Linked DNA regions of Coturnix japonica. The protein of the gene in region 3 purifies or fractionates together with the protein of the main gene of each other region. This does not show direct contact. Links are inferred from orthologs where the notes say so. Each region holds a gene or a part of one and is shown on either strand. Other genes may lie near its edges. The genes, in order: GAB1, PLXNB1 and MET.

Evidence for each region.
Region 1: the proteins of MET (region 3) and GAB1 purify together in Homo sapiens (affinity purification with western blotting; 3 studies listed by BioGRID and IntAct, with this or other methods). This does not show direct contact. The link is inferred for Coturnix japonica from reciprocal best matches to the Homo sapiens genes MET and GAB1.
Region 2: the proteins of MET (region 3) and PLXNB1 purify together in Homo sapiens (co-immunoprecipitation; 3 studies listed by IntAct). This does not show direct contact. The link is inferred for Coturnix japonica from reciprocal best matches to the Homo sapiens genes MET and PLXNB1.

What each region holds. Positions count from the first base shown.
Region 1 is NC_029519.1:26,863,935-26,867,086, reverse strand, and holds the end of GAB1 (GRB2-associated-binding protein 1), read right to left. Parts: intron 2,861-3,152; coding exon 2,738-2,860; intron 2,489-2,737; coding exon 2,330-2,488; 3' UTR 584-2,329; downstream 1-583. UniProt on the Homo sapiens protein: Adapter protein that plays a role in intracellular signaling cascades triggered by activated receptor-type kinases. Plays a role in FGFR1 signaling. Probably involved in signaling by the epidermal growth factor receptor (EGFR) and the insulin receptor (INSR).
Region 2 is NC_029527.1:8,846,215-8,849,870, forward strand, and holds part of PLXNB1 (plexin-B1), read left to right. Parts: intron 1-2,106; coding exon 2,107-2,215; intron 2,216-2,308; coding exon 2,309-2,417; intron 2,418-2,557; coding exon 2,558-3,415; intron 3,416-3,656. UniProt on the Homo sapiens protein: Receptor for SEMA4D. Plays a role in GABAergic synapse development. Mediates SEMA4A- and SEMA4D-dependent inhibitory synapse development. Plays a role in RHOA activation and subsequent changes of the actin cytoskeleton.
Region 3 is NC_029516.1:22,355,102-22,358,757, forward strand, and holds the end of MET (hepatocyte growth factor receptor), read right to left. Parts: intron 2,956-3,656; coding exon 2,819-2,955; intron 2,654-2,818; coding exon 2,443-2,653; 3' UTR 261-2,442; downstream 1-260. UniProt on the Homo sapiens protein: Receptor tyrosine kinase that transduces signals from the extracellular matrix into the cytoplasm by binding to hepatocyte growth factor/HGF ligand. Regulates many physiological processes including proliferation, scattering, morphogenesis and survival.

The DNA.
Region 1 (3,152 bases), on a different chromosome or scaffold from region 3:
GATGTATGTGTAAGTGCTGGACCACACAGTACGATTCTTTCCCACAATGGTAAACATCAAAACAACCATGGCTGATAAACCAGAGCAGTGATTGTCTCATTACTTCCATTAGCACATTCAGAGGCAACTTGGTGGAAGTGCACTGCTATGATTGTACCAATTAAATGTTTAAAACCAGCATCCTAAACCAAAGTTACCTTTACATTAAATGTCCCTGTTCCAAATACTCAACATATCTGTGAGTGCATCAGCCACTGCAGCAGTGAGGAACAGTATAATATGTAATAATAATACCTTCAAATCAAAGCGAAGTTGAGTTTTACCTCCAAAGTCCTTTAGGATTTGCAATGCTTCAATTAACCTCTCAAGGTCTCCTTGGCTCACATCACTTCTCCCAGCTCCCAGGAGGCTGGGAGTCAGGTTAATTTTAGTTGCTTGTTTAAAAACAGAGATTTGTTCTGAAAATTAATCCAACCCTTTGTTTGTTTGTTTTGACAGCACAATTGCAGAAAAAAAGCAGTTGCAATCATCTAGGCACTTTTACAAAGGTATTAATGCCTCTTGCTGTTTAACAGGACAAAGCTTACACATCGAAACTCAACAACTCGATTTATTTAAAATTCACCTCAAAATCCATTGTTTAGTTGTTTTTGTGTTTTTTTTTAATGAACATTAAAAGCATCAAAATATTACTAATTTTAAAAGAACCTTCGTTAAAAATAACATAATTTACATATGGTAGATTGTGGTTGTGAGGGGAGAGAACCAACAAATGGTAGATTAGGCACAGTACTAAGGCCAACATGCCAGAAAACAAAAGAGCTGTATACTCAAAATTTAAAGTGACACAGACAAAACAAAACAATGGGGTGAGAAAACAAAACCAACAGCTTACTTAAGGGCGGTTGCGTAGAGAAAAAAAAAAAAAGGGGTTAGTAAGTTTTCTACCTAGATCTATCCTGTTCATGTATCTATTTTCTTCCATATATAAAAAAAATTGTTTCTAAATCAAGGCAGATTATTATTTGGAACTGTCGTAGTAAAATAAGGGATCACAGTATACAGAGCTTAAAATCCTGTACCAGGAAAGAGGAACGAGTGGTTTACAAGGGGATCATTTAAGTACATTATCTAATTTTTAAAACAGAGATATAAAATATCATTTGCATAGGGATTTAAATATAAGGCCAAGCAGGAGATTAAAAGTAAAATAAAGATTGTAAGAAGGGCACTACGGTGTCAAAACATAGTATTTCCATTTGAATTAATGTCTAATTCAAAATCACAGTATTTTGCTAGTACTATAAACAGTGAACGTCAAACTGTCCCATTCATCTTGAACTGAAAACCGACATTAGAACTTCTAAACAGTACAAAACTAAAGCTCATTGTCTAAACCTGATCAGTGTATTAGCACAGTAGTGCTTGGTACGTACCTGATTTATATACTCTACCTTCTGTAAATAATATAAAGGTTATTTTTTGTTAATAAGTGTGAGATCACAATATTACTGCATGCCATCAGTGGTTTGCAGGCTTACGTGATATTTAATTACTCAGTCTTAAAAAGTGTGAGATCCCACCCTGCAGAATCTTCACCTATCAAACACAGAACACTGTCATTAATAAAATACAATAGAAGTTCCACCACTAACAACTAACATATTAGCCAGTATTGCAGGTCTAAACCCAGTATAGTTCATTATTATTAAATCACAGCAATTTTTGTTAGGAAGGTAACCTGTAGATTTCCAAATAATCTTTTGCATGTATTAAATATAAACAAGTACGTAACTAACGGTTACCTCTTGACATTTCAAGTAAATTATTCAATTGTGAAAGTATTTCTGCAAAAAATCAATTTTAAGTTGTTAAAATGAAGTTCAAATATTAATTTCCATATCTACATGTAGCTTAGTTAACCTAGAATTGTAAGGAATAGTAGTGTAAGGAAAAAAAACTCTCCAAATGAATTAGGCATCAAGGTACACTAACTGGGAATACCTGAACCAACATTGTAACTGAAAAAGTGCATAAACATAGTAATACACTACAAATGTGTTAACTACAGAACGAAAGGTTTTCTGAAAGCAAAGTGGTACTATTTTACACGTTATTTACAGGTTGCAAATTTTCCAGAGACCACATAGCCAATTTATGATCTTAAACTCCATTGATGCTTATGAAGTGTCCTTTGGCTTCCATCCTATTCAGTCAAAAACCTGTTCACACACTGGTGAATACCATACAGTCAAGCAACAGTGCCACGATGGTTTGTCAGATCTTCGAAATTCATTCCTTTCTGTTCCTTGAAGAATAAGCAGAGTTTTCACTTCACACTTTTTGTGGGTGTTTCTGATTCTGTAGACTGCCGCCCATCAGTCCATGCCTCTCTTGTGCTCTTCAGTGCAAGTGTTTTCTGCTGGTCAACTACAACATAATCAACTCTTTCATCTGCCACACTGCTGCCTGAACCGCTGCTCTTTTTCTGGATAAAGACAAGACAGAATGAACAAGCAAGTTAAACTAATAATTTCTTTACTAGAAAATTAAGTACATATACCGAACAGATTCAAAACAAGCACAGGTTTATCTGAAGAGTCTGAAAGAGCCCCTCTGATTGACCTTTGGATAAACTAAATGGGGCGATCTTGCTGGAGGCTCTTTCCCAGCAGCTACTTGTAAAGAAATTCCAAGCTGTTAATGCCAGTCATTTGAAAAGTCAGGACTTGCTTACCTTACGAGGTGGGGTAGATTTTCCCGAATCTAGGTCCAGATCTAAATATTCTACTTGCTTATCTCCTTTAGGTTTTACCATGGGGCTGCTTCCTCCATCAAGACTGTTGCTACCAAACAGATTCTGAAATTGTAACATAGAGAACTTCAGCTGCAAACGTACATGCTAACAATCCAAATTATCAAATATGCTTATTATAACCTGTCAAAACATTGAAGGTTAAAGAACTGAGTTTTTACACCCAGTTAAACCATGCAAGTTTTGTTGATGTTATATAGATACAGTTAAATTAAACAGAAACAGAACAACGTTAAGCCTGGGACAAAATCAAAAGCCAAAGGGAATGGACGGAAGGAAACCAAAAACCACCCCCCATAATTAAGATTGTCATCAAATCAATCTGTACCTTCCACCT
Region 2 (3,656 bases), on a different chromosome or scaffold from region 3:
CATAGGAGGTTCTATGGCCTGTGTGTTGGATGTTGCCCAGCCTGCTGGTGTGAGCAATGATGAGCTGCTCTCTTCAGAGAACTTGTTCAGCTGAAGGAAGCACGGCAGGTGATGAGGGAAGAATTCCACACAAATCACCTGAATAGCTGAGGAGATTTTGCCATATACGTATACAGCTGTCTAATGGGTCTGAAATGGTCTCCATGGACATAACATGACAGCAGAACCAAGCTAGCTCTGGTCTTTGGTCTCAGACAACTTGATTTTTGGCTTGCATGATGCTTGGAGTAAATCAACCAGGTCTCCTTTTCAGTCAAAGAGAGGGAGGCTTCGTGCCCTATTACAGCAGGCAAAGTGAACAGGATTGGCTTTTCCATTTAGATAGCAAACACTGACCTGTATTTAAACTGTAAAGGTCACTCACAGTCTAGTTTTCACTCTTCTACACTTCAGATTCTTTTAGCAACTCATTTGTAAGCAATCTTGCTTTTATTTCAGTAATGAAGTGTTTTACCTGTATTATTTTCATCTTGCTTTGCTGAAGCAACCTGCTTCTATTTTCTAACCTGAGCTTATCAGACAAGAACCATCCAGGAATCTCATCTGTGTTGTCCTTCTGCTTCTGTAGTAATTCTTCCAGTCAATGAACTGTTGCCAAATGCTCTTAGAAGTGTTTTGCTGTGTTAACTGTGCCAGCCTTCTCTTCATATTTGCTGTTATGTAGGTTTTCTCTCTCCTTCACTGCGTTTGTAGCCCTTCTTTGTGCTATTTTTATGCTCTGCTAAGATTAATTTGAAGTCGGTAATGAGAACTATACAATAATCTAAATGAGATGTCATTAGACGTATTTTCCTATTCCTACTTAAAAAGCTTTTCCCAGCTTGCTAAAATATTTTCCTCTTTTCAGCTTTACTTCAAAGGTTGCATTATAGCTCATCTGTCACTTCAAGCTGATGAGTTCCACATTGGTAGCAAGATCTCTTGCTCTTAATTTGCAAGTGCTCAACCTTGTCCTCTGTGCTGCTGAACAGCACCATTACAGTCACAGGAAGTAATTGGCTTTTTGGAGAAAAGGGTATTTATAACTATGGTGTCATAGTCCTGAAACCCTGTGAGGATTGGCCCTTCCACCACAGCCAGATGCCGTCACCTTCATAACAGCGATAGGAGCTGGCAGCATTGCAGCGACTCCTGCCTTCAGCAGCATGCGATGCCATCTTTGTTCTTAATCCTGGTTTTTCATAGACACCTCATCACCTGTTTTACCAGCATCATTTCTCTCTTGTCATCCTGTCAGGAATCCAGTTCAAGCCTGAGGGACCCTCTGTCAGACTGGATAGTTTCTTTGTTGCCTTCCAGACTATTGCAAATGAGCAGATTTTTGCATGCCAAAGTAAGACTGAACTCTCTTAGAGGAAGGACGAACAGCCTCCTTGTTACTAGTTTTTGTAGCACATTGTTGCGGACAAATGGCGGCTCCTGGAGTTCAGCAGAGCACGCAATATATTCCCATTAGTTAGAGATCTAACGCTCAGTTCTAAGGTTGAGGGCATTTGTTTGAAATGAGGTTAACTGGCATTCTTAGTACTGCCATATGTGAAACGTCTCCCTCAGGTTCATGCTATCAGATAGAGTTAGCTATGACCATTCCTGCAGTTATTTGATCTGTTGTGAAGCAATGGTCATGCCTCTCAGTCTGGACATAAAAACAAAGAACTTGAGGCGATATCTGCGTGTGAAGCACATGTTGGTTCTAAGGGTTGGGTTTTCCCTTGGATCACAAATGACAACAGTCATCTTTGAGCCTGGAATGTCACCTCTTCCTGTAATACAGAGGCGACAGTGGGATTACAGCAAATCTAGATGGAGCAATCTTCAGACATCTTCCTTCCTCTGGGTTGGCAAGAGCTGTCGTAAACTACCCCGATAAACTTGTCCAACTTGTTTTTAGTGTGCATAGGATAATCTAGTGATGGAGATGCTAGCAGCATGGAAGGGAATCTGTCTCCAGTTTTGACAGGTGTCTTCCATAGAGCATGTGCTGTGTCTTCTAACAGTATGGCAGAAATGGCATCATTTCTAAGAGATTTTTATTTTCACTTTCAGATCATGTCACCATAAAGCTTGTAGTGCGTTTCCATGACATCTTCATTGCTTCTGTGGACTTCTCTTTCTATGATTGTGCTGCAGTGGCCCTGCTATGGAAATCAGCACCGTGAGCACCTGCTTTTTCTTGTCTGTAGTTCTAGGGAGGGTGGCTGCCCTGTCCTGGATCAGCATAGGAACTACTTTTCTATCACTGTTCCAGGTGCCAGAAGTGTGTGAGCAGTCCCTGGGGATGCAACTGGTGCGTCCAGCAGCACCTCTGCACCCACAAAGCAGCCTGTGAAGAAGGAACCATTATCTACAATGAAAGGGTGCGTCTCCTACTCAGTCCCTCGGTGGTGAAGCAGCCTGTTGTGAACATAGCTATGGGGGTGATACGGAGTGGTTTTGTCCCCGAGTTTTATTCTGTGTTATTTCTTTTCTCTTACCCTGCCATGTTGTTTTTCTTTAGGCCCAGATCCCAACTTCAAGTGTGTTCCTTTCGTCAGCAGCTCCCCTCACTAAGTCCTCTACCGTAGCCCCAGTGGTGACCATAAAACCCATCACTCCCCCTGTGCATGCAGTATCAAACACTGTGCCCCCCACAGAGCCCAACCACATCACGTTCTCTGCTGCGTCCGATTCAATGACTGAGCCTACAGAAATCATCAGCAACCCGTACTCAACGCTTTCAGCTGAAGCAGCGTCTCTCCAGGCTGTTACAGAACACCCCCTGCCACCACCAGCAGACAAACCTGCTGTCACTCTGCCAGGCACAGCTTCTCCTGCTGCATCTATTCTCACCAGCCCAGGCAAAAACATGGATCGTGCAGCCTTACCAACCATAGGGCCGTCTGCTGCCCATGAGCCGTGGCACACTGAGCCACCTACCACTGTAGCAGCTACTCCTCTGTTCACATCTTCGCCGGCAGTGACACCTTCCCCACATGTCACCAGTTTAAGATTGCCTTTGAGTTCTTTTCCTACCGCAGAGGCCCTGACATCTGCCATCCCATCTCCCCAAACCCCTGGTCAGATGCCAGAGGACCCTTCTGCCTCTAATGACTCTCCTGCCATGCTGGGAACTGAAATACCTGCATCAGAGCCCCCACCGTCAGCTTCCCAAGACTCAGTGCTGGGGGAGGACGCAGAGCTCCAGGACACAGAGGACTGGATGGATTTGCTGCAGGCTGAAAACGACACATCTCCCTTCTCCGCTTCTACTCTTTTATCGGGTGATGGTGATTCTTCAGAGAGGGACGTCCCTGACTTGCCCAGGATCCTCCACCCTGACCTTGACTATCAGTATGATGCCCCTGGATTCTGGGAGGTAAGCTGCTCAACTTCAGAATCTGCAGCTTAAGGCTGTAATTATTTGAAGTTTTCATTTGATTTGCTGGTCTGATGTTTCAGCACATAGAAGAAGCTGTGCTCTCTGAAACAGTAGGTGACCACCGGAATGTGTGGGAGGAGAAGGGGCAATCTGAAGCTCCCGGGTCTTGTAGAAATGCTGCTGATCTGAAAGTGACAGCTGCTGTGATGTCCAGACTATTCACAGCTCTCTGCTGTTC
Region 3 (3,656 bases):
ACCAACCAGGCTGTGCCAAAATTGTTTGCTACAGAGCATTCACACTTTTCTTTGAAGCAGACAGTACCACAGCGATGGACTATGAGCTTGATTTATTGGAGCACTCTCCATGCATTTATGTCTCTGAGTTTTCCTCTCTTTTGCTCTCTTGCACGCAGTTCCATTGGTTGCTCTGCCAGCCTCAGTCAGGAAAAACATGCAGACTTTTACCAGCTTAATATTCTAAGGTTAACAGTAATAACAGCACTCAGGGCAGAAAGTATTACAATAGTTCATTTTAGTAACATGTTTATTAGATCATAACAACAACTATAAACATAAGTACCGTTCAGCTCTTCTGCCGATATATGAACTTACTAACATCAATTTTTACCAGAATCACATATTCCTACAGGTGTCCCAGACACAACATTAACTTTATTAAGCAAAAGTTCATAAATAGTAAAAATGTCATCTGTTTCACATTGCAGCGTTCCTCAAGCAGGTATGTACAAGTTTGGAGTATCTTCTCCAAATCTAAATTTCCTTAGCTGTTTTAACAACCATAGAGATGATTTTTCTGCCTGCAGCAAAGCCTTTTGTCCTTGAGCAATCTACAATTAGTATTGCTCTCAGCAGACATGAAAGTTTGTTTCTGAAATGAAAGTGGTGATGAAACACAGTACAATATTATCTGCTCATAGTTTGCCTACACACTCTGCCCTCATTATAAATCTTTCATTTATAACGCCGTCTCCCAAGAACAACATAACCTCTCTTATATCAGTTCCTTACCCACACTGCCTCTCTTTGAAGATCTTAAAATGGTTGGCTTGCAGCAATGGAGATATTACACTTAAGGTAGGGTGGAGTGTGTTTGCAGTCAGTTCTTTTCCTTTCTAGTATTTACACAGTATTCTTTTTAAGGTTGCTACTATTTATGAATCATGTTTGCTGACATACATTTTCTGAAATGTTCACAGTGCAGTATTTTGTGGACTAACCAAACTTTGTAAATGTCATTAAAAATAAACTTTTGTTGTTTTTTTTTGTTTTATAATATATAAAAATAGAATACTTTATGTGTTTACACCAACAAACCCAGTTCTATTCTATTCTACACAAGCTATACAGTAGTATGCACAGAATTCCACAGGAACAGAAATGACATGTGATGCTTGCCCTAAAGCTATAGTACTTCGCTCTACTGAATGAAACTTTATTCATTCTCTCTTCCCATTTCTTTTTCTGGGCATAATTGAGAAATAAAAATAGATATCATAATTCACTGGGTTGTGTGATTCAAGAAAAGATAAGGGACCATAAAGGTGTTGTTTCTTCTTTTCATCAGTCTTCTGAGCTCCTTAGGGCTGCTGTGACAAAGTGATTAACATTTATGCTATGACATTCTCTTAGGTCAGGGCTGGCTGCAACACCTCCGCTTTTTACTCACCTTTGGCAGCAGCTCCACCCAAGGATGGGTGGCACACCTTCAGCTGCTCACTGTGTGACTCATCAGACAGCAGCTCTATGTAGTTGCCAGTCTGCCTGTCTCCTCTTCCTCTCCAGAATAATGCAGCCCATGTTACTAACTCCCAGGGATTAACCTGTCATCTAATATGGGCGCCTCCAGGTTTTCTGTCTGTGAGAGCAGTTGCTTCTTGACTGAAAGTGTTGGGGCTACGCATTTGTTTCAGTGAGATATCTGTAGATTTAGGCTGTTACTCAAAGAAATATTCAAATGTTGGAATAGAGTTAACACTAGGAATGCTTTAAGCTAGATGCTTTTCTGTTCACTTTATGTACCGTCTGACTATGCCAGAGGCCTGGCAAGGCTGACATACTTATTTTACTATGCACTTATTTTACTGTGATGTTGACTTCTGCTGTTGACTTTTACCATGAAGCTGGCGCTACTGGCTGCCTGTCTTCTGAGAAACCTCATTGACATAGTGCAAAAATCCAGAGTTTGGACTGTGAGGCAGGAAAATGCATTTTTAAACTCTTGTACATTTCATGGTTTGTCTTTGCCTTTTATGTAAGAACCATTTTGTACTGCTCATTATCCTAAAGTACATGCAACAATAATAGTCCTTCCAGCTTTTCTGATTGGTATTCTATGTTCTCCTTCATGGCATTAATGATGAATCTTTGTTCTTGGGTCTCAGCACACATGAATGAGAACGAGCAAGAAGTAGATCTGGTTGGTAGAACACAATGTCTCCATTTGGTGAACTGATGCAGTTGTCCAAATACCTGGAAAATTACTGTGATGGTTTACAGAATCCCACAGCCTTGAAAAAAGATGATATCGTGTCCTTCTACTAGTGCAACTTGGGCAACAACATAAACATGTGCAACAGTGTTCTCACAAAGACCAGGCAGTAAAAACTAGTGGACAAAATGTTTCAGTTTTTGTTCATACCACTAAGAATGGATTTTCCTCTGTTTCAGACATACTTGTCATGTGTCTACATCCATGTCTGTATTGTCTTGTGATGATAGTAGAGAAGGATAGGGAGCAACACACTTGACGTTGACATAAGTAGCGTTAACGTGAACGTAGTGTTCCCCAACAAAAGTGGAGAAGATTGTTGATATTTTTGAAACAAGTTCAGAAAATGCTGGACGCATCTCAGGTTTTGGATGCCAACATTTCAGCATGACTTCATACCTGCCATCCAAATTAAAGAAGTGTTCAATTATGAAATTATCAAAAAAAAAAAAAAAAACAAAACACAAACCTCCCTCTCCTCCCCCCCACCTCTTCTACCCCACAGTCTCAAGAAGTTACTGCAATATCAGCAGTTGCAGAAGGTTTTGCAAACTATTTACTCACAGTGGGTCAGGGCAGTATTCAGGTTGTAGCAGCCTTCTTCCTTGTAACAAGTAAACAGTTATATCAAAAGAATTTACGTCGGGATAAGGTGGTGCCCCTCTTGTCATAAGTTCCCATAACAACACACCGAAGGACCACTAAGAAAACAAAGAAATAAATAACAAGTGATAGGGTTGGAGAGCTTTACGTTCCAGTTTTAGAACATGGTTTGACTGATGTAAGCATTCAAATGCATTAGTTTTCCCTTTGAAAAGTTATTTTACTGCATTCAGCTTTATTTTAAGTGGGCTAATAAATGCTGTAGGGACTTGAGGAGCCACTTAAGTTAGAGCCAGAGAAACTCAAGTAAATAAATGAAAGAAAATAAAAGCCTATAGGCTTGCTACTTAGCTGGTAAAAACTGGCAGACATCCTTTGAGGTTAATGGAGTGCTGCCAATTTACACGATCTGATGATCTGACTGACTTTGTGTAAATATGTACTGAAGAGAATGTGGTGAAAATTCTATGCATCACAGGCTAATTTGGATCTAGAGTGAAAAGAGAGCTAAAATACAAGGCGATCCAGCCAACTAATGACTTCACCCTATAATTTGTTCTTTGTAAATGGCCAGGTAGTACTTGAGATTGCTGTAGGCAGATGGTAAGCATTTATAGAGCAAATAAAGTCTTTTTGTGACCCACTGCATTTTATGAGTATCAAAGTTAACCTGCTTGGTCAAGCTTTCTAGAGTCCCTCCTATAGCAGGGATCCGCTCCAACTTGACTCCTTAGTATACCTTGAAGAGGAATTAAACTCCAAATTCTGTTCTGAGTCCTAATTTTTTACTGAGTAGTAA